4 linked regions of the Mus musculus genome follow. The protein of the gene in region 1 interacts with the protein of each later gene in a biochemical or structural test. Links are inferred from orthologs where the notes say so. Each region holds a gene or a part of one and is shown in the gene's direction. Other genes may lie near its edges. The genes, in order: Shank1, Yap1, Wwtr1 and Cacna1d.

What was found.
Region 2: the proteins of Shank1 (region 1) and Yap1 interact in a test that uses a peptide from one of them, tested with the Homo sapiens proteins (2 studies listed by IntAct, with this or other methods). The link is inferred for Mus musculus from reciprocal best matches to the Homo sapiens genes SHANK1 and YAP1.
Region 3: the proteins of Shank1 (region 1) and Wwtr1 interact in a test that uses a peptide from one of them, tested with the Homo sapiens proteins (2 studies listed by IntAct, with this or other methods). The link is inferred for Mus musculus from reciprocal best matches to the Homo sapiens genes SHANK1 and WWTR1.
Region 4: the proteins of Shank1 (region 1) and Cacna1d interact in a biophysical measurement, tested with the Homo sapiens proteins (2 studies listed by IntAct, with this or other methods). The link is inferred for Mus musculus from reciprocal best matches to the Homo sapiens genes SHANK1 and CACNA1D.

What each region holds. Positions count from the first base shown.
Region 1 is NC_000073.6:44,347,320-44,352,200, forward strand, and holds part of Shank1 (SH3 and multiple ankyrin repeat domains protein 1), read left to right. Parts: intron 1-3,276; exon of another isoform or gene 3,277-3,374; coding exon of another isoform or gene 3,375-3,404; intron 3,405-3,628; coding exon 3,629-3,725; intron 3,726-4,237; coding exon 4,238-4,881. UniProt on the Homo sapiens protein: Seems to be an adapter protein in the postsynaptic density (PSD) of excitatory synapses that interconnects receptors of the postsynaptic membrane including NMDA-type and metabotropic glutamate receptors via complexes with GKAP/PSD-95 and Homer, respectively, and the actin-based cytoskeleton.
Region 2 is NC_000075.6:8,001,143-8,006,803, reverse strand, and holds the start of Yap1 (transcriptional coactivator YAP1), read left to right. Parts: upstream 1-2,207; 5' UTR 2,208-2,413; coding exon 2,414-2,689; intron 2,690-5,096; coding exon 5,097-5,347; intron 5,348-5,661. UniProt on the Homo sapiens protein: Transcriptional regulator with dual roles as a coactivator and corepressor. Critical downstream regulatory target in the Hippo signaling pathway, crucial for organ size control and tumor suppression by restricting proliferation and promoting apoptosis.
Region 3 is NC_000069.6:57,474,086-57,478,966, reverse strand, and holds part of Wwtr1 (WW domain-containing transcription regulator protein 1), read left to right. Parts: intron 1-1,410; coding exon 1,411-1,610; intron 1,611-4,881. UniProt on the Homo sapiens protein: Transcriptional coactivator which acts as a downstream regulatory target in the Hippo signaling pathway that plays a pivotal role in organ size control and tumor suppression by restricting proliferation and promoting apoptosis.
Region 4 is NC_000080.6:30,038,784-30,043,210, reverse strand, and holds the end of Cacna1d (voltage-dependent L-type calcium channel subunit alpha-1D), read left to right. Parts: intron 1-124; coding exon 125-445; intron 446-844; coding exon 845-1,138; 3' UTR 1,139-3,270; downstream 3,271-4,427. UniProt on the Homo sapiens protein: Voltage-sensitive calcium channels (VSCC) mediate the entry of calcium ions into excitable cells and are also involved in a variety of calcium-dependent processes, including muscle contraction, hormone or neurotransmitter release, gene expression, cell motility, cell division and cell death.

The sequences.
Region 1 (4,881 bases):
GGGCTACATGCCCAACATTCAAAATAATGTTTAGTGACTTTTGAAGTCAGAAGTGGTGGCCCACACCTATAATCTAAGCACTCCAGGGACTGAAGCAGGAGGATTTCCATGAGTTTTAAGGACCAACCTAGACTGAGCCTATCTCAGAAAACCAAAAGATAAAACAGATTTGTTGCTACAGCAATATCAGTGCCTCCTGGCCAGCACATTACACAGGGAGACTGAGCTGTGGCACCTAAGTGCTCTAGCTGCAGAGTCCACAGCAGCCTAGGGACTATCTGTAGGAATGAGCCGCTGAGATGGGGGTCAGGAATCTCCATGATTTCTGTGGGTGATGCAGCCACCAACTTCACTGAGACTAGCAGAGCTGATGCCAACAGCCTCAGGGGAGAAAGAGCTGAGTTCCCCACTGCATGATGTGGGGACAGGGGTGTCATTTATTCCCTCAGGACCACACACTCCATCCTGGAGTTCCCAATCTAGAGGCCACTTCTCTGGCTGGTGGAGTGCCCTGCAGGCCCCGGCCCTCCCTTCCTGCCCATCCTTGGTTTCTCTAGATGTCTACATTGTTGGTTATCTGCTGTGCCATCCTGCACACAAGTACAGAGTATTCCTGTATTTGTTTAAGATGAAAGAAAGAAAAAGAGGAGGCAGAAAAAGGAGGGAAAGAGAAAGAAAGGGCTGAAGAATGGAGGAAGGAGAGGAGGGAGGCAGGAAGAGAGAGAGAATCTAGGACAAAGAAGAAAGTGAGGCGGGCAGGGATGGGAATGGCAAGGGCACTTGGGCCTTGCAGCAAGCTGTGTGTTCAAATCCTGGTTCCTCTCCCTACGTGGTTCTGAGCTATGCTACCTCATCCCCAGTGTGCTTCCTACTCTGGATAATTGGTTTGGATCTGGCAGCACTCAGTGGAGTCAAATGCGGTCAGCTCCAGTCCAACAGGGCTCTCAACAAACTGGCAGTCCTCTTCTGTGTGCGACTGTGCCAGCCCTCTGATCTCAGCCCAACACCATCCTCAGAGTCTGACAGCATGGCCCCCACACTGTCCTCCGACAGCCTCAGCTCTCATCCAACCCGTCTCTTATGCGTGTGTGCAAGTGTGTGTGCGAGTGTCTGTGCACATGTGTGCATGTGCCTGTGGAAAGCAGGGGCAGTCTTTGGTATCCATCCTCGGGCACCAATCAACTTGTTTGTTGAACTCTCTCAAAATCAGAGACATATGGTGTGTGTGTGTGTGCGCACGTGTGACATGCGTGTAGTGTGTGGTGTGTGTATGTGTGTGTGATGTATGGTGTGTGCCATATGTGGTTATGACATGTGTGGTATGTGTGCACCATGTATGGCTGTGGTACACGCAGTGTGATGCATTCTGAAACCAGACCAGGACAGGTATTTTCCTCCCTCTACCACTGTCTGGTCCCCATGAGACAGAGTCTCACTGAAGCACAGTTCACAGTTTTATCTAAATTAGCTGTCTATCAAGCGCTAGGGACCCACCTCTTCCCCCTCACCACACAGGCACCCAATGCTAATAATACAGGCATGGACAGCCAGGCTTGGATTTTTATGTAGCTTCTGATGATTTGAACTCAGGACCTCATACCTGAAGAACTAACTTACCCACCTAACCATCTCCCCAGCCCCTCACCCAGTCAGAGTGTTTTCCCTTAGTCTGCAAACAGTGTCCTCCCCTCAGGCAGGGTTCCCCTCAAAACCTGCTCTTCTCCCTAGGAGCTTTTTCTGACATTCTCATTACCTCACCCTTCCTCATTCAGTTCCAGACACTCTGACACAACTTCTTTCACACTAATCTTTCTACTATGATGCTCGCCCCTCCCTTTTACTACTTCCTCTCTCCTGCCCACCCCCTCCTCCATCAACATGTTCCTCTCCATTACATGGCCCCTCCCCCATCTCCCTGGCCCCTCCTCCATCGCATGGCCCCTCCTCTATCACCACAGTCCGTCCCCCATCTTTCTGGCCTCTCCTCCATCACATGGTCCCTCCCCCACCACCATGGCCCCTCCCCCATCAGCTTGATCCCTGTAAGGAGCCTGTCCCCAGACTCTCATACTCTGCTGCTCTAATGGGATAACAGGCACTTAAACTGTCCCTGGGTTACTTGGGACCTGTGAAAAGCACCCTCCACAGTGTCTCTGTCTTTCTAGGGTTGGACTTATTTTGTTTTCTTGCATGTTTTGTTGTTTTTCTGAGACAGAGTCTTATGCCGTAGCTGACACTTCCTTGAATTCACTTGTAGACCGTGCTAGTCTGGAATTCATGGTAATCCTCCTGCCTCAGCTTCTCCAAATGACAGGTTCCATGTCATACAAGACTCCATGTTCTGTTCTCTAATATACTTATATCCTGCCTTTCATACAGCCATGCCTTGTGGAAGTGTCCTTGTCAGTGGAATGAACAAGACAAACACAGAAATAGACAGTTCTAAGCCAGGTAGGCCAGTGCAGCGACAGGGCTTTTAAGACCCAGGAAAGCCTTGAATTCCTCAGACTACCACTGCCCTCTAGAATAGTCCACACTTCTTGTCCTGTATGGAGTTACAGTCACTCTGGATTCAAACACAACCAGTGTTGTGGATGGATGGATGGATGGATGGAATGACAGACAGAAGGAATGGTCAGTGGAAGAAGATGATGAATAGAATGATGGACAGATAGAATAACAGATGAATAGCCAGACAAACGAAATGGTGGATGGAAGATACACGGACGGAATGATGGATGGATAGAATGATGGATGGATGCAATGACAGACAGTAGAACAGTGGGTGGATGGTCAGACAGATGGGTGGAAGGATGGATGTGTGCAGTGATGGATGTGTGGAATGATGGACACGGGAGCAGACAGACAGATGGAATGATAAACAGGTACAAATGATGAATTGACAGAACAATGGATTGGTGACCAGACAGACAATTTTTTTTTCTTGAATGAGTTGAAACTGGGGCTGGAAAGATGGTTCCATTGCTAAGAGGGTTTGCTGTGTCACCATGAGGATGGGAGTTTGGGTTCCAGGCTTGGATAGCCCTGCAGCCCACCCACTTCCCCCACATATGCAACTCTAGCTCTTGTGCCTTTCTCCGGCCTCTATGAGCCCCTCCAGCATGCGCGTGCGCGCGCGCACACACACACACACACTTTTAAGTCTGACGTGAGCTGCAGCTGCTGGGAATCAGAACTGGGTCCTCATGTCTGTATGTGTGGCAAAGCGTATTACTGACTGAGCAATCGCTCCAGCCCTGATTTCTTTTTTGAAAGATTCCGCCAACTCTGGAAAAGAGACCAGAAAGGAGTGAAGGAGAGAGGAAACAACAAAGCCAGAGGGGTGGCTGCCACCACAGGCCAGAAGAGTGTCAATGGGACCTGGGTACAGGCCACGACTGCAGGTGGTACCTGCTTTAGTGGGACTGCTCGGCTGCCTGCTTTTCTTTTCTTTCTCCTGACTGCTTCCCCAGAGAATTCTCCCAGGACTTGCTTTCTAGCTTCTGTGTGCCTCGTCTCTGCCATGAAAGAGCTCAGAGGAGAAAGTAATTTCCTTTTGGAGTGTGGAGAACTCTGACTGATCCCTCTTCGCTCTCTTTTCTCTCTTCCTCTAACTGCTGCCCCGAAGTCGAGCTTTGATCCTCACCACCGCTCCCAGCCAAGTTATGACCGGCCTTCTTTCCTGCCTCCCGGACCTGGCCTTATGCTCCGGCAGAAATCTATCGGTATGTCCCCCAGAAAGGACCGTAGCCCAGGGGCAGGAGAGGACTGTCTAGGTTTGGAAATGTGCTGCAGCACCACATCCGACCCTGGTTAGAGGAGGTCGGGTTTGGATGAATTCCAACTTTGCTTCTCGCCTGCGGGACTGCGTGGGTGGTCTCTCGGCTTCCTGACCTTCATCTAGAAAACCGGGGTCTTTGGTGTCCAGAGGAAGGATTGTTGGTAGCATGCGGGTAGTAAGTGGAGGCAGATCCTTGTTGAGAGAGAAGCTAGCTACTTCCTAGGCGTCTCTGTGTAAAATAATAGCCTTTTCTTCTTCTCAAGCACGCTTTAAACTCGCTCCAAGTCACCATTATCATGGATTCAGGCCTTTGACTAATTAGGAAATGGCTCCCCCTCCTGGCCAGAGGGTGAAATTCCACTGAATTTCTCTTGCGCCTCTGCTGTTGTATAGCTTGTATGCAGAAGGAGCTGGGCCAGTCCCTAATTCCTCCATTGGTCTTACGTATCTCAACAGGGGCTGCGGAAGATGACAGACCCTACCTAGCACCCCCAGCCATGAAATTCAGTCGTAGCCTGTCAGTCCCGGGTTCAGAGGACATACCCCCACCACCCACTACATCCCCACCAGAGCCGCCCTATAGCACACCTCCGGCCCCCTCCTCTTCCGGCCGCCTCACTCCCTCGCCTCGGGGAGGGCCCTTTAACCCTGGTTCCGGGGGTCCCCTTCCCGCCTCCTCACCTTCATCTTTCGATGGGCCATCTCCTCCTGACCCCCGTAGTGGGGGCCGAGAGAAGAGCCTATATCACAGTGGCGCCCTACCCCCTGCCCACCACCACCCACCTCATCACCACCATCATCACGCCCCACCTCCTCAGCCCCACCATCACCATGCGCATCCTCCCCACCCACCGGAGATGGAGACAGGAGGTTCCCCCGACGATCCCCCACCTCGATTGGCTCTGGGACCCCAGCCCAGCCTTCGAGGCTGGCGAGGTGGAGGACCCAGCCCGACCTCGGGGGCCCCATCACCTTCCCACCACAGTAGCAGCGGAGGCAGTAGCGGTCCTGCTCAGGCTCCCGCCCTGCGCTACTTCCAGCTGCCCCCGAGGGCGGCCAGTGCGGCTATGTACGTACCAGCCCGCTCCGGCCGCGGTCGC
Region 2 (5,661 bases), on another chromosome or scaffold:
AAGGTTCTAAAACGGTTGTGGCCCAACAGGCTAGGCCACTACCAGTGAAGTAATCTGTAAACACAGGGCATTGATAATAGCTGACAACTACTAAGACCTCGCCTTGTGCCACAAACTGGGCCAAGTACTTTATATCCATTGACTCATTTAATGTCTCAACGACATAAGAGACATGAGGTGGATGTAATTACAAAATGAAAGAGCAGGAAGTAGCTTGCTCACTATCACACAGCTCCTGTGTGGGTAACTGGGACCTGAACTCTAAACTCCAGAGCCCACAAGAGTGTGGTCTTGTGGCACTTGGTGTGAACCAATCCTGGAATCAGTCTTAGGGAGACATTTACCCTTCTTCCTCTCTAGGACAGGAAACTGAGGCTCCTAAATAGTTGATTCAAATCTTACCTGTCTGAAGCTAGCTCACCCTACTCTACCACACAAAGCGATAGACTGCTGCTCAGAATTCTTCCGGGCGTGTCTTAACTAGAGGAAGAGATTATCTTTTTGCTCAAGGGTCCTTTCTTTGCTTAATCCTATTTATACCCGTTTCACTCACACTGCAGACAAAATCATTAGAACAAGAAACCAGATTTCTGGAGAAGAAATTTGTGTGTTTAAAGTCAGTGTTGCACAACTCTGGGAATACACTCAAAAAGCACCAAACTGCTTAAGTGGAAGACTATATAGTTATGTCAGTTATACCTCATTAAAACCAGTTCTTGTTTTGTAGCTCATGACTTCAACAAGGGGCTGAGGAGAGGGCCGGTCACTAAAAGTACTGGTTCCTAAGAAGGCTCAGGTTCGAATCCCTGTACCCACGTGGCTGTTCACAACCAGTTGTACTCCAATTCCATGGAATCTAATACCATCTTTTGGACCTCTGTGGAACCAAGGCAAAGACATAAACTCAGGCAAAACACCCAATACAAAATAATTAACTTAAAAAACACGAACAGATTTTTATCATTTTTGGAGTGATTCCAGATAGGCTCCTGATAGATAAAAGACTGACACACAGAGAATCAGGGGCTAAGGTAATCTCCATTGAGGTTCATTTCTTAGTCTACCCTGCATTGTTTACCCTTGTACTAAACACAAGAGGAAAACCCACAATGCTCCATGAGGTTAAACAGTGACTTATGTTTTGAGTTGAAGTTCCCAAAGAAATGTCAAGTTTTGGTGTTAAAAAATTGACTTTTCACTTAAAAAAAAAAAAAGTTTGCTGAGCAAGGTGCCCCACATTTGTTATTTGAGCCCTTTATAGGCTGAGGTAGGGGGAGCAGAAATTTTAAGCTAGCCTCAGTTATGTAGTGAATTGGAGGAAAGCCTTAGCTACATAGGAACCTGACTCAAAACAGCAAAATAGGGTAGTCAACATGAGATGGATGGTTCAGGGTACCTGAGCTCGATTTCTGGGACCCACAACCAAGAAGAAAACAGATCCCACAAATGGTCCTCTGACCTTCACCTGTGCTCACTTGTACATAATTAGAAACACAAAAAGGAAGAAAAAGGAAGGAGAGGGAGAAAGGGGGAGCGGAAGGAAGGAAGAAAGAAAAGAAAAAAAAGAAAAAAGAAAAGAAAAAGGACGAACCTATGAACCTACAAAAACCGGGCTAGCAGAGGCCCTGGCTTGGAATCCTAGCTGTCTGTGGAAGCTGTGGCACAAAGAGTTGGAGGATATCCTTGACTACAGAGTAAAGCCTGTTTAAAACAAAATTTAAAAAGTAATACTGTTTCCTTTTGTAAGGTACTCCCAGTGCAACTCCTGGTTTCCAAGCTTCACTTTGAAATCATTTGCACCCGCCCTCAAGTGTTTTGTTGTTTCTTCTTCAAACTTGGTGGTAAATGGAATCAATGTTAAAACGCGGACCGGATTAACCTTAGTGCGGGTGAACAGTGTGGCCTTTGCATCCACCCTACCAAGCCGGTTGTCCCGATTCCTCGCGGCCTTGGCGTTGCGCGCGGGTCCGGCAGGATCTGCGCCCGCAGCCGAGCGGCTCGGGGCCGGCCGGTGGGTGCGCACGCAGCGCGGTCGCCCCCGGGTCACGTGCGGCCGGGAGTCTGCAGGAATGTAGCGACGCGCAGGGAAAGTTTCCCCGGGGGCCGCGGGCCGCGGATTCGGTGCGGGCGGGCGCGCAGAGGAAGGAAGAGCGTCGAGGAGGCGGAGCCCGCGAGGCGCGCGGGCGGGCGCTCCTCGCAACTTTTTAGTTTGGGCGTCTGGAGCCAAAGTTTCTGTCTCAGTTGGGACGCCGCCGCGGCCGGGGGCAAAGAAAGGGAGGAAGGAAGGAGCTCGCGGAGGGGAGGGGAGGAGAGGGGAGGCGGCCTCGGGCAAGGAGTGCAGGGCGATGCGGGCGCGCGTCGCAGCCCCCCGAACCTGAGCGCAGTGCCCCGAGCGTCGAACGAGGCCGCAGCCATGGAGCCCGCGCAACAGCCGCCGCCCCAGCCGGCCCCGCAAGGCCCCGCGCCGCCGTCCGTGTCTCCGGCCGGGACCCCCGCGGCCCCGCCCGCACCCCCGGCCGGCCACCAGGTCGTGCACGTCCGCGGGGACTCGGAGACCGACTTGGAGGCGCTCTTCAATGCCGTCATGAACCCCAAGACGGCCAACGTGCCTCAGACCGTGCCCATGCGGCTTCGCAAGCTGCCCGACTCCTTCTTCAAGCCGCCTGAGCCCAAGTCCCACTCGCGACAGGTAAGGGTATCCCGGGGGCGCGGGGCCGCGTGGGGGTGCGGTGCTGGGGGTTGTTTTCGCGGAGTTGGCCGCAGGGGGGGTGCACAATGCGCGCGCCTCCGCTCCGCACCTTCGCTCTGACGAGGGGGAGGGGAGGAGGGGGAGGGGGCCGGCGTCTTGTGCGGGACCCCAGCCGGGGGTACCCGATCTCCCCTTCCCGCGCCACTGCAGTCTCCGGTGGAGCTGTGTTAACTGCCCTCTTGTTTTCGCGTGCCGGTGAGGGGTGGGGGTTGAACTGGTCCATTGAGTTTCTGGTTCCTTCTCCCGGTCCCCTCCCCCTCCCTCTCCCGAAAGCTTTTCTGTTCTCGCGGCCCAGGCGCTCTCCGGATGCAGGGTTCGGGCTCCCCAGCCCGAGCGAAGCTCCCTCGACCCCCCACTCGCCTCCGCCGTGCCCTGGAACTCGCGCGGGCGGGATCCTTTCACACTCGGTGGGCTCACGTGTCCTTTTCCTAAATCGTAACCTATTATTTACTGTTCGGCCCGAAAGCTTTTAAATGAGCCACGTCTGTGTGTTGCGCAGGAGCTCGGCTGCGCTCACGGTGCAGAGGTTTCTGCGCCGGCCTTTGATAGCGCGTTGCAGGTTGACTCATAGGCCGAGTTCTGCCCGGCTCAACTGTGATTAAAGGTAATGTTTGGGAAGCAATGACTAATTCCAAGCTCGCCATTGCTCTTTAACTGACTGCGGATGTGAACATGGCTGCTTATCCGTATCCACGACGCCTGGTTATTTTCCCAACTGGATCCAGCACAGAAGTGAAACCGTTTCAAAGTATTAACATTCCGATAGGTCCTGGTAGATTTCTTTAGTGTCGCTCCCCCCGCTTTTAATTACTTAATTTTTAAAGAACTTGCTTTAGGCTAAAGCAGCACAGGAACTTTGCCCAAAACTTAATTGGTTTTCCAAACACTGCCATGTCGTTAGCCCACTCGGGCTGTAACTTGAGTGGAAAGAAGAGTTGCCGCCCCCACTCCAGCCCCCCCTCCTAGGCAGGCTTGTTGTAGAACGGGGTTTTTGAAGCTTCGAAAATCTCGATTAACCTCCCTACAAAAAGCCTCTTAAGAAGGAAGGAAAAGTTATCTAGCTGCTCGGCTAAATAAACTCTTAATTTGTAACAACAGTAGACCTAGATACTATTTGCTCCCTCCCCCACAAGTGAGTTTCTGTACTCGCTGAACTAAACGTATGTGACATGCAATCGAGAAACCGCTGGGGCAACTTTGAAGGAATACACAGATTGAACGCTCCATTTTGTAGCACTTAGAAGTCAGAAGGAATGAACCCGGGAAAGTGTACTTGTAATACTGGCTTCCACTGGGCCGTTCGTGGGTACATTTGCATTCTCTCTAAGCGTTTTAAGAGAGCTGTTCGTCAATAAATTTACCTTTTCTGTGCGCTAATGGTTTCCTAAAATTCAATCTATCTGGAAACTCAAAAACGGGGTTTTCCTATGGGGCTTTAAATGACTGCTGGGTCTTTTCAGTTTCCTTATCAACATAAATCTAGAAAAACGTTTTGAGAAACCCTAATTCCAATAAAAGGATTGGACTGTGAATGGTATGTATCAGAGTTAGTAAATAATCATCCACAGGCCCCTGCCTGAGAAGTCTTCTAGCCCTATATCCTCTCGCTTGGAAAAGCTCATTTACACACAAGTTTATTCCTGACCCCTGTCTTAACACTGGTCTGATTGGACCCAAATTTGAATCATTGGGGTCTTTGCAGATTTTTCTTTTGTCCCTCACCCAGCTATTATAAGTGTGTGAATCCACAAATTATAATTGAATTGAAAAAGTCTTTCTCTAGGCACAAAAAGGGCTAGCCTATTATTCTCTTCATTGAGGAGCTTTTAGCATTGGTGCAGTTCTGAGAGTTTGAATTTATTAAATGTTGTATAATTTATAATGGCTGACTTATCACATTTGTTTACAGTCAAAAAAGTGAAAGATGGGGGAACATTAGACATTTACAACAAAGAAAAAAGTGCCCAGTCGTTCCCCAGGTTTTGTTCTAGAACCTGGAAAAGTAACCACACTGCTTAGAAAAGTACTGATTATTTTGAGTTATGTAGGATGAGCATTATTCTTTACCACTAAATAAAGTTATTATGCCTAGTATTTGTTGTTTTCACACTGTCTAGGAGGTAGACATTCATCCAGATGGACTGTTCATCAGTAAAATAACATTTATAATGCCTATTAAATTTTTGTAATGGTCTATTTGGTCTGGTGTGTTCCTGTTGTGTAAGAAATTAAACATTAAAGTTTACATTTGATACTTAGATATTTGGTTGCCGTGACATACTGTTTGGAAGTTAGGGGTAGGTGCTGTTGTCTCTATTGTTAATTTTCATTTTGCTATTCCTGATAGGCCAGTACTGATGCAGGTACTGCGGGAGCTCTGACTCCACAGCATGTTCGAGCTCACTCCTCTCCAGCCTCCCTGCAGCTGGGTGCCGTTTCTCCTGGGACACTCACAGCCAGTGGCGTTGTCTCTGGCCCTGCCGCTGCCCCTGCAGCTCAGCATCTCCGGCAGTCCTCCTTTGAGATCCCTGATGATGTACCACTGCCAGCAGGCTGGGAGATGGCCAAGACATCTTCTGGTCAAAGATACTTCTTAAAGTAAGTGAAGACAGCGCTGGGAAGAGGCAGTGTGGGAGTGGCTTTATTCATTTATTGTCTTTTTCAAAACAGTATTCAATTATTTATTACTTTGCTGTTGCTAAACATGGAACTCAGCCTTATAAATGGTAAACCAGCATACTTTATCATTGAGCTGCACCCCAGCTCACTCGCTCTGTGTGTGTCTCTCTCTATACACACACACACACACATACACACACACACATATGCACACTCTGTCTCTCTCACTCTCTCTCTTTAGGGTTGGTCATATCTTGAAAGCCTGATTTATTCTTAGTTCAGAGCCTTTTTGC
Region 3 (4,881 bases), on another chromosome or scaffold:
GTGTGTGTGTGTGTGTGTGTGTGTGTGTGTGTGTGTGTGTGGTACTTACTAGCATATATGCCTGTGCATATATTCATTCATAGCATACATTCATGCCTGGTGCCTGCGGAGGTCAGAGGAGGGTGTTGTGTCTCCTGGAACTGGAAATGGTAATAAACTTCCATGAGTACTGGAAACCTGGACCTCTAGAAGAGCTGCCATGGGGCTCTTCACCATGGAGTCCTCTTTCCAGCTCTTCCTTATTTTATTTTATTTTATTTCATTTCATTTCTCTGTGTAGCTCTGGCTGTCATGGAACTTGCTCTGTGGACCAGGCTGGCCTCCAACTCAGAGCCTTCCCTGCCTCTGCCTCTCCAATGCTGGGATTAACTGTGGATGCCACAACTGCCTGGCCTCCTCACCTACCCCTTTGTACATTTTAAGACAGGGTTTCATATAGCCCAAACAGGGCTGAGATTTGCTGTATTGCTGAAGAGTCCTCTGCATTTTGATTCTCTGTTTCCACACTTGAGTGCTAGGATTATAGGAATGCACCACCACTCCAGGTTTATCCGACACTAGGGATGAACCAAGGGCTTCTTGCATGTTAGGCAAGTACTCTATTAACTGAGCTATGCTTCCCATCCCAGGAGTTATTCTTTCTTAAGAAAGTATGAAATGGGCCTCTTTTATGATTGATGTCTTTGTTTGTTTGTTTGTTGTTTGTTTTTTCCCTGTTACTCTCAGTTCACCCATTCATGCTGAGTATTCTTATATAGCCATTGGATATTGAGAATTGATTACATGCCTTCTGTGATGCTGCTACAGCTATTCCGGGTGTTTGAAAAGTTCATGCACTCCTGGGTATCCTGGTGAAACATTTTTTCTAACGTGTAACAAAAAGCGACATATTTTGACGATTATTTTTTATGTTATGTCTAAAATGTATTTGAGGCTCAGGCTTGTGAGATGGCTCAGTGGGTAAAGGTACTTGGTATAAGCCTAGCTTTCTGAGTCCAACTGTGGGCCCCACATGTGGAAGTAGAGAAGCAACTGTGGCTTACACGTGTATGTGGCTCACACATGCACAAGCATGAGCACAAAAACCTACATACTTGTGTATACACACACACACACACACACACATACACAAAATAAGTGTAATATAAATGTGTTCCAGGTGTGGGAAACATATGACATAAGATGTTTAACAGTACAGAAAACTAATACTGGATATGGTAGAGCTGGAACCTGTACCTTCATGAATTGAATTAAGGGAATAATTGTTAAATAGTAATTAATAATTAATGGTAAAATGCTTGAAAGGAATTCAGGACTCTATACTCCAAAGCACAAAGCATTCTGATGGTCTCTTTATGATATGGTGTCATAGACCTTGGTCATTGATCTGTTCGTTATTCCCTTCTGTAGCAATGAATCACCAACACCAGCAAGTCGTGGCCACTAGCCTGAGTCCACAGAACCACCCGACTCAGAACCAACCCACAGGGCTCATGAGTGTGCCCAATGCACTGACCACTCAGCAGCAGCAGCAGCAGAAACTGCGGCTTCAGAGGATCCAGATGGAGAGAGAGAGGATTAGGATGCGTCAAGAGGAGCTCATGAGGCAGGTATGGTCTTCCATGGTACCTGCTGGAGATTCTGTGGCCTTGGGTGGCTGTTTGCTTTCAAGATAAGTCCAAAGACTCATATTCACAGACCAGTTTCTTCTCCCAACTCTCTCTGCCTGAACTATCTTCAGGGCCAACCTTAGGAGCTAAAGAGCTAAACTAGCTCATGGGCATGGTTATATTGGCATGGCTGCCTTGCCTTCCATTGATAGTGTTTAAAAAGAGAGAAAGGAAAAATTGAGAAAGAACATCTTCCAATTAGCTGTTACTTTGTCAACAGGTTATCCCCCCAAACTCGGAGACTTGAAATAGTCATTTACTTTAATCACAGTTTTGTAGGTTAAAAATTTAGAAAGGGCTAAGGTAGGTGGTTCTTCTGTTGCCATTGACTTGAGGTTACTTAGCGGTAGTCAACTGGTGGGTGGTTTGCAAGGTCCAGGAGGATGTAGCTAGTGGTGAGTATTGCTGGCAGGTTGGGCTTAGTTGGGATTACAGGAAGCATAACAATCTCAAGAGTACCAGGACATTATACAGCGATCTTCCAGAAGAGAGGATAGAAAGAGATGGGAGAGAGAAGCTGCCGGTGTCTTAGGGTCTGGTTCTAGAAATGGAGTCAGCTTTGTCCCCTTTCCCTCATTAAAGGAGACAGTAGGCAGGCATTCCATAAAACAAGCCCCGTGTAGCCAGCCATCTTGTTCGATGATAGAGTATGAAAAAGGATAGAATCAAAGCAGAATGAGAAGGAAAACTGGTTTGGATGTGGATTTGATCAGAATACTCTACAAAACTGCACGGGCATCAATTAGACTTTTCTTCTTTTACGTCTATCTTGTTATAGCTGGGCATAGTAGCACATGCCTTTAATCCCAGCCCTTGGGAGACAGGGGTAGGTGGATCTTGGTGAGTTCAAGGCCAGCCTGGTCTACAGAGTGAGTTCCAGGACAGCCAGGGCTACATGATGATACATTGTAAAAGAAAAGAAAAGGAGAGAAAAGAAAAGTCCTGTTGTCAAAGATCCTCTTGCCTCAGCTTCTAAATCCTGGGACTAAGATGTGCCATCCTGCCCATAATATTTATTCTTTATTCACCTATTTGGTCAAGAGAAAACTGCTGTATATCTTCTGAGGGTTCAGCATTGTATGTCATAAACAAAATAAAAAAGCCAGGCATGGCTTCAATCCATAACTCAGAAGACCCACTCAGGGATGAGAGTTTGAGGCCCCAGAGTTGGCTAGGGGCATAGCTCAATAGGAGAGTACTTGCTTAGAGTGTTCAAGGTTCTTGTTCCCAGAACAGAGGGAGAAAGAAAGACAGAGAAGCAAAGAAGAAGGGGATATGGGAGGGAGGAAAAAAAGACACCTGGCTGAGTTTGAGCCTTTTTGCCATTGTTAAAAATATAGTTTTAACTGCTCAGAGAGTATCCTTGGAAGGGAATATAGGGGTATTGTAAAGACTTTCTCAAGTTACAGCTGTTATTTTAAAATCTATACATCTTTTATCAATAGTAATGTCTTGCTCATCAAATACAGCTCAGATGCAGTGTTTGAAAATAGGGGAAATGAATATCAAGTTAATGAAGAAGACTATTAAGTAGCTATAGTTACTACGTTTACTCATAGAATCTACATTTTCGCTTTCTTGGCTGCATCATGGTAACAATTTTTATTAAGGTTTTTAGATATAGCCTATCATGTTTCTTGGCAGGAGATAATCATATGATTTGTTGTTTTCCATTTTTGGATATTTCTATGTGGAATCAGTCAATTTCTTATTTGGAAATAGAATGTGAATTAGCATTTATAAATTGTCTTTATACATTTAGCATTTATAAATCATTTTGTATTTAAATGATTGTGTGTGTGTGTGTGTGTGTGTGTGTTTCTTCAAGTCACTCTTTTGTTAGGAGTGATTTGTGTCCGTCTCTTCTGCCTTTCTTTTGCCCTGTCTCCTCCTTTCCCACAGAAAGAATTTTCGAAAAGGGGTGTGGAAAAGGGCCTGGCATTGTTTCCTTTATTCTAGCTGGAGGTGCCTTTGAGCCAAGGATAGTTTTGATGGTTCATATTACAGAAATGCCAACATAGTTCCTTCAGAACTGAGCTGTGGCAGCTGGGGAACTTGGTGCATTTTAGGGAATCCCAGTTTCCAGTCCTTCCCACAGTGCAGCAAAAGAAAGGCTGGCAATGACTGCTTAGCTTTGACTCCTGTGTGTGTGTGTGTGTGTGTGTAGTGTATGTGCATGTGAGTACCAGTGAGTATGTGTGTATGTGTGTATGGATGGTTTTGATCTCTTTAATTTTGTTACTGGATTATAGGAGGAAAAACCCTCTGAAGTAGACTTATTAATCATGGAAGATTGTTTTCCTCACCCCAAACCCATCCAGAAACAGCATGGTCCCCGTTACAAGTCATAGGTAATAAATAAGGCCATATAATAATGGTATGAAAGTGTTTTCTGAGGATATTTCCAGAATATCTTGGATATCATCTTGCTCAGCTTCAATTTTTTAAAAAGGATGCATCTTCTTTTATATGTGTAAATGTTGTTGCATGCATATATGTGCACCATAGGCATGCCTGGATCCTTTGGAGGATCATTGGCTCCCCCGGAACGAGAGTTAAGGGTGGACGTGAACCATCTTGTGGGTGCTGAGAACTGACCTGTATCCTCTGCAAGATCAGCAGTTGTTCTTACTTGCTAAGTCATTACCCCAGCCCTTTGGCAGGCCTTTTGCTATTAGTGTGTATGCGCATACTCGTGGAGGTCAGAGTCCAGTCCTCAGGAGTCAGCTCTCTCCTTCCAGTCTGGGATTTGAGGGGTTGGCCGCAGATGGTGAAGCTTGCTCCGAATAGCACTTTTACCCACCGACCCATACTGCCCACCCCTGGAAGGCTTCTTGACTTCTTTCTTCTGGTGATTTTTCATTTTGCTATTTGTGCCTTGACACCAGGGTAGAGATAGGAAAAGACTCAAAGTAAAAAATGGCCTTTGGTTCACCTGTTCAGCTGCTTTCTAGCACCAAATGGGAATTTATAGTGAGGAGGACTGGTTTTTCCTGGTGGGACCTCTGGGGTATCTAGAAAATCACCTTGGTTTGTTTTGCCTCAGCCACCAGCAGCCCTCTGACCATCTCTTGCTCACTGAGAGATCTGTAACCAGCCTGGCTCCCCTGCCTGCAGGAGATCTTGAACAGCCTGTCTTCTCAGCCCTTGTTCGTTTCTCTTCCTCCTCCTCCTCTTCATTTATTACTCTACGCCTATGGTTTGATGTTGC
Region 4 (4,427 bases), on another chromosome or scaffold:
AGCTCACTGAGTGGCCTCTGCTACACAGGCATCTTCCCCCAGGTTTTTGAGAAGCATCTCTGCACAGCTGCCATGTGCCAGACTGGGACCAAGGCTCAGACCTCTCTCTGCTTCTCCCGCTCAGATCATGGCCGTTGCAGGCCTAGATTCCAGTAAAGCCCAGAAGTACTCACCGAGCCACTCTACCCGGTCGTGGGCCACCCCTCCAGCAACCCCTCCATACCGAGACTGGAGCCCATGCTACACCCCTTTGATCCAGGTGGACCGCTCAGAATCTATGGACCAGGTCAATGGCAGCCTGCCATCCCTACACCGAAGCTCCTGGTACACAGATGAACCCGACATCTCCTATAGGACTTTCACGCCAGCTAGTCTGACTGTCCCCAGCAGCTTCCGGAACAAGAACAGCGACAAGCAGAGGAGTGCAGACAGCCTGGTGGAGGCAGTGAGTATGGGTGGCCTTTGACCTCTGGACAAATCTTAGGTGGCAGCAGAAACAGAGCCATGATCACATGGGGAGGGGGCAGTGGTGGGCTCTGCAGCCTTGCCACCCGAGGGTGGCCTCTCGGCAGCATTTAAGGCCTGAGTGAAAACCAGCTGGCACTGCCAAGTCCCACCAGAGAGTCCCATCCTGCAGTGCCAGTCTGTGCTACGTCCCCAGTGCTTTCTCTCTTGCTCAGCCTTGTGGAGCCACTCAGCTTTCGACACCAACAGAGCTGAGCTCATTTATGGTTAGCATCGTGTATAAAGTTTAGCAGCATGGCTGACAGCGTCCCCAGAGCATGCCGCGCACTGAGAGCTGATGCAGACCTTCCCTCATGCCATCGATCTATCTCCTATACAGGTCCTGATATCCGAAGGCTTGGGACGCTACGCGAGGGACCCCAAATTTGTCTCAGCGACAAAACATGAGATTGCCGATGCCTGTGACCTAACCATAGACGAGATGGAAAGTGCTGCCAGCACCCTGCTCAATGGCAGTGTGTGTCCTCGAGCCAATGGGGACATGGGCCCCATCTCCCACCGCCAGGACTATGAGCTCCAGGACTTTGGTCCTGGCTACAGTGACGAGGAGCCAGACCCTGGGCGAGAGGAAGAGGACCTGGCAGATGAGATGATTTGCATTACCACCTTGTAGCCCAGTGAGGGCAGGCTGGCTCCAGCCAGAGACGGGCACGGGAGGGCCAGGGATAAAGTGCCTCATAATTAGGAAAGTTTAGGCACTAGTTGGGAGAAAAACGCTCAATTAGACTTTTGTACAAGTGATTTCATGCCTCAAGGAAGCCATAAACCTGGTAGGAGCAGGTTCTGAGCGGCCTGGCATGTGCTATGTCACATGCTCAGGCCCGGCCTCAGAAGACAGTATATCTGGCCTGCACAGAGGCCAGAGGGCTGCCCAGGAGTTGGTGTCTCCCATCCAGGGTGCATGCCCATGCCCCTTTGCCTGCAGACATGAGAGAGGTTAAAGGTGATGACAGTCACCACGCCTGTGTCATTACCTCAACCATTGGTCTAGCATATCAGACACCCACTGGGCCTGGCATATCCATTTCTGAGCCCCCTCCCCCAACACACTGGTTCCTGGTTTCTGTGGAGCTGTTCTGAATGGTACACATCAGAACCCAGCCACTAGTGGTCACGACAAGGGGAGTGGGACCGGATCGTTTTGTTAAGCGATGCCAGTTTACATAAGAGACCATCACTCAGACGGTCAGTTCTGTCACATTAAGGGCAACTGTAAACTGGAAGAGTACCGCACTTGCAAACCAGGTAAAACTTAGATACGTTTAGTTTGTTTAAAAATTATAGATTTACTGTACATGACTTGTAATATACAATTTGTATTTGTAAAGAGATGGTCTATATTTTGTAATTATCGTACCGTATTTGAACTGCAGCAATATCCACGGGTCCTAACAATCGTAGTTTCCCACCCAAACCTAGAAATTATTAGTATTTTTACTTGGGCTAAAAAGAATTAGGAGAATTAGAGCCAATTCTCACATGTTCAGTAAAAGAATCTTTGGGGATAAACTTTTGAGTTCCTAAGAACTTGGCACTTCAGAACTTTTTTCTAAAATATTTTGAGTTACTATAAACCTATCTTTCCGTAAGATATCAAGTTGACTAATTTGCAGTCTTTTCTTTGGGTTCTATGATTTTATAGTGCACCTCCCACCCACATGGGTTGCCGTTGACTTTGGTTTGGTTTTATTTTCACAACCCTCTGGTCAGTTAGTTATGCAGCAGGTCCAGCTGGCTACTCGGCCCAGTGGCATCCACTGGTCTGGCTCCCTCAGTTGCCCACGCAGGATGCTTCTGGGTCTCTGACGTGGAGCTGCACAGATGAGCTGCCCACGTCTGCTCACATCCCCAAGGATGCTTAAGATCTAGGAGGTATACCACAGGAGGGGAGAGGGGAGCACCGTGGTGTCCTGTGAATGCAGGTGGTCTGTGGAGTCCTGTCGCCTTTCACAGCTGCTGTGCAGGATTCTCTTTGAGAGCTGTCACACACAGCGGAGCAAGGGCTGAAGTTTTCACGAGAACACAAGCGCTCTGACTGCACACCTGGGGACAGTTAGCTTTGGAATCGTTAGAACTGTCAAGATTTCCTGTCAGCATCATGAGATCTCATCCCATCACTTTCCTAAGGATTCTCTGCAATCAAAAATACAGGTAGCAATTTGGGTTCAAAATTTTTAACTAGTACACAGACAACCTGTGGAAACAATTTTTTTTTTTGTAAATAAATTTTATTATAAAGACCTCGCAAACCTCTTCGGAAGACATTCTTACTCCAGATGCAGGCAAAAACACTTCAAGGTTTGTAAATGACTATTTCCTGACATAAAGCCTTTTTTTTTTTATTAAAATGCAAAACGTTCTTCAGAATAAACTCTGTATAATGTCATCATATGGGGAGCTCTCCTCACACAGCTGGCTCTACTGGGGGAGCTTCGGGCGGCTTTTTCCGCCCTTGGTCTCCGAGACCGATAGTAACTTCACACCAGCTGCAGAGTGCTGTTCTCCTAAAGGGCTAAACTACCATCAGCATTTACCTTGGACTCTGTCGTGCTGGGTGTCTGTCTGTCTGTCTGACTGTGCGACGTAACATCAGCAGATCACACTCACGTGTGTTCTGGAATGGGTGATCGTTCCCAAAGTCAGCTGTCAACGCTGCCTGGCGTTTCAGGCTGTCCTTCCCGGTATGTCTGCTTTAAGCCTGGTTCAACCTCTCATTTAATATTAAATTTCTCTTTGTAAGAAAAATTTGAAGTTGTAGAGCATGGTTTTTTCCTCCCCTTTAAGGAAGTTTTAAGACTAAATAGTTCTGCTTTTTGGTTTTCCTACCCTGCCCCACCCCCCCCTGATATTGAGGTCTTTGGAATGCTGCTTTTAGTTTAAGCTCCTGCTTTTAATGACATTAAAAGGTGGAAGTCACTATGATCTGCTCACCGTCAGCAAGAACCTCATTTGGGATGGTCTGTGAGGTATGTGGACTTGTGCTCCATAGTTCTAGAAGGTTGAGGGTGTAGCCCTAGCCACTTGAAGAGAGCATAGCTGGGGTGCACTACCCACTTCACAGTGGTCCAGCTCTTAAGCCAGATCGGCTCTATTTTGTGCTGTGTGCTTTTTACTATCTACGATCTTTATCAGCTCTGCCTTTACTTGGGGAGGATGGAGTGTTGGTTTACTTGTACAAACACCACCAAATCATGGGCACCTCTCACAAAACCCACTCCAGCTGTGCTTTCCCAGAGGGCAGTGGAGACCTAGGGAGAGGCTCGGTCTCTGGCTTCTGATTTCAGAACAAGGGTGAAGAGTGTGGTTGAATATACAACAGCCCAGCCAGCAGGGGCTTCGCAGGTCACCAGCTTGGGCCTAGGAGGTAGGTCATGTTTTCCCCGCCCCCCTCCAAATTTGAAGATTAAAATCTTTGCATTAGGTTTGATATTGTGGTAGTTTATAAGTGGAAATATGAAAAATCTTGGGGCCTGAGGGATGTAGTATGGTGGGTGAGAAGAATCTATTTGAATGTATGGAAATGAGGCAGGGCTCATGTGTTACAGTGTCCCCACCTTCTGCTTCTATGACTGTGTCTGGTCATGCTGGCAAGTTGTCCCTGTCTCCATCCATGATCTGTGACCCTGTCAGGAACACACTTGGCCAACAGTGAGGTGGGCCCAAGTCCCATCAACACAGCAGGGCTCCCCACAGTTCTTTTTGGTGCTAGGGGTCAACCCTGGGGCACATGCTTGCTAGGTGTGCAGGTACTGGTTTTGGCAACATGTGGCCTTCCATGATTGGGGTATTACAGGCTCTTTGCCAAGGAGCCTACTTAACTAAGCCTTTCCAGTTTCCCCAGGAGACTCAGTCTTAACTGCCTGTGTGAACCCCACTTTAGAACGGAAGCAGGACTGCACCAT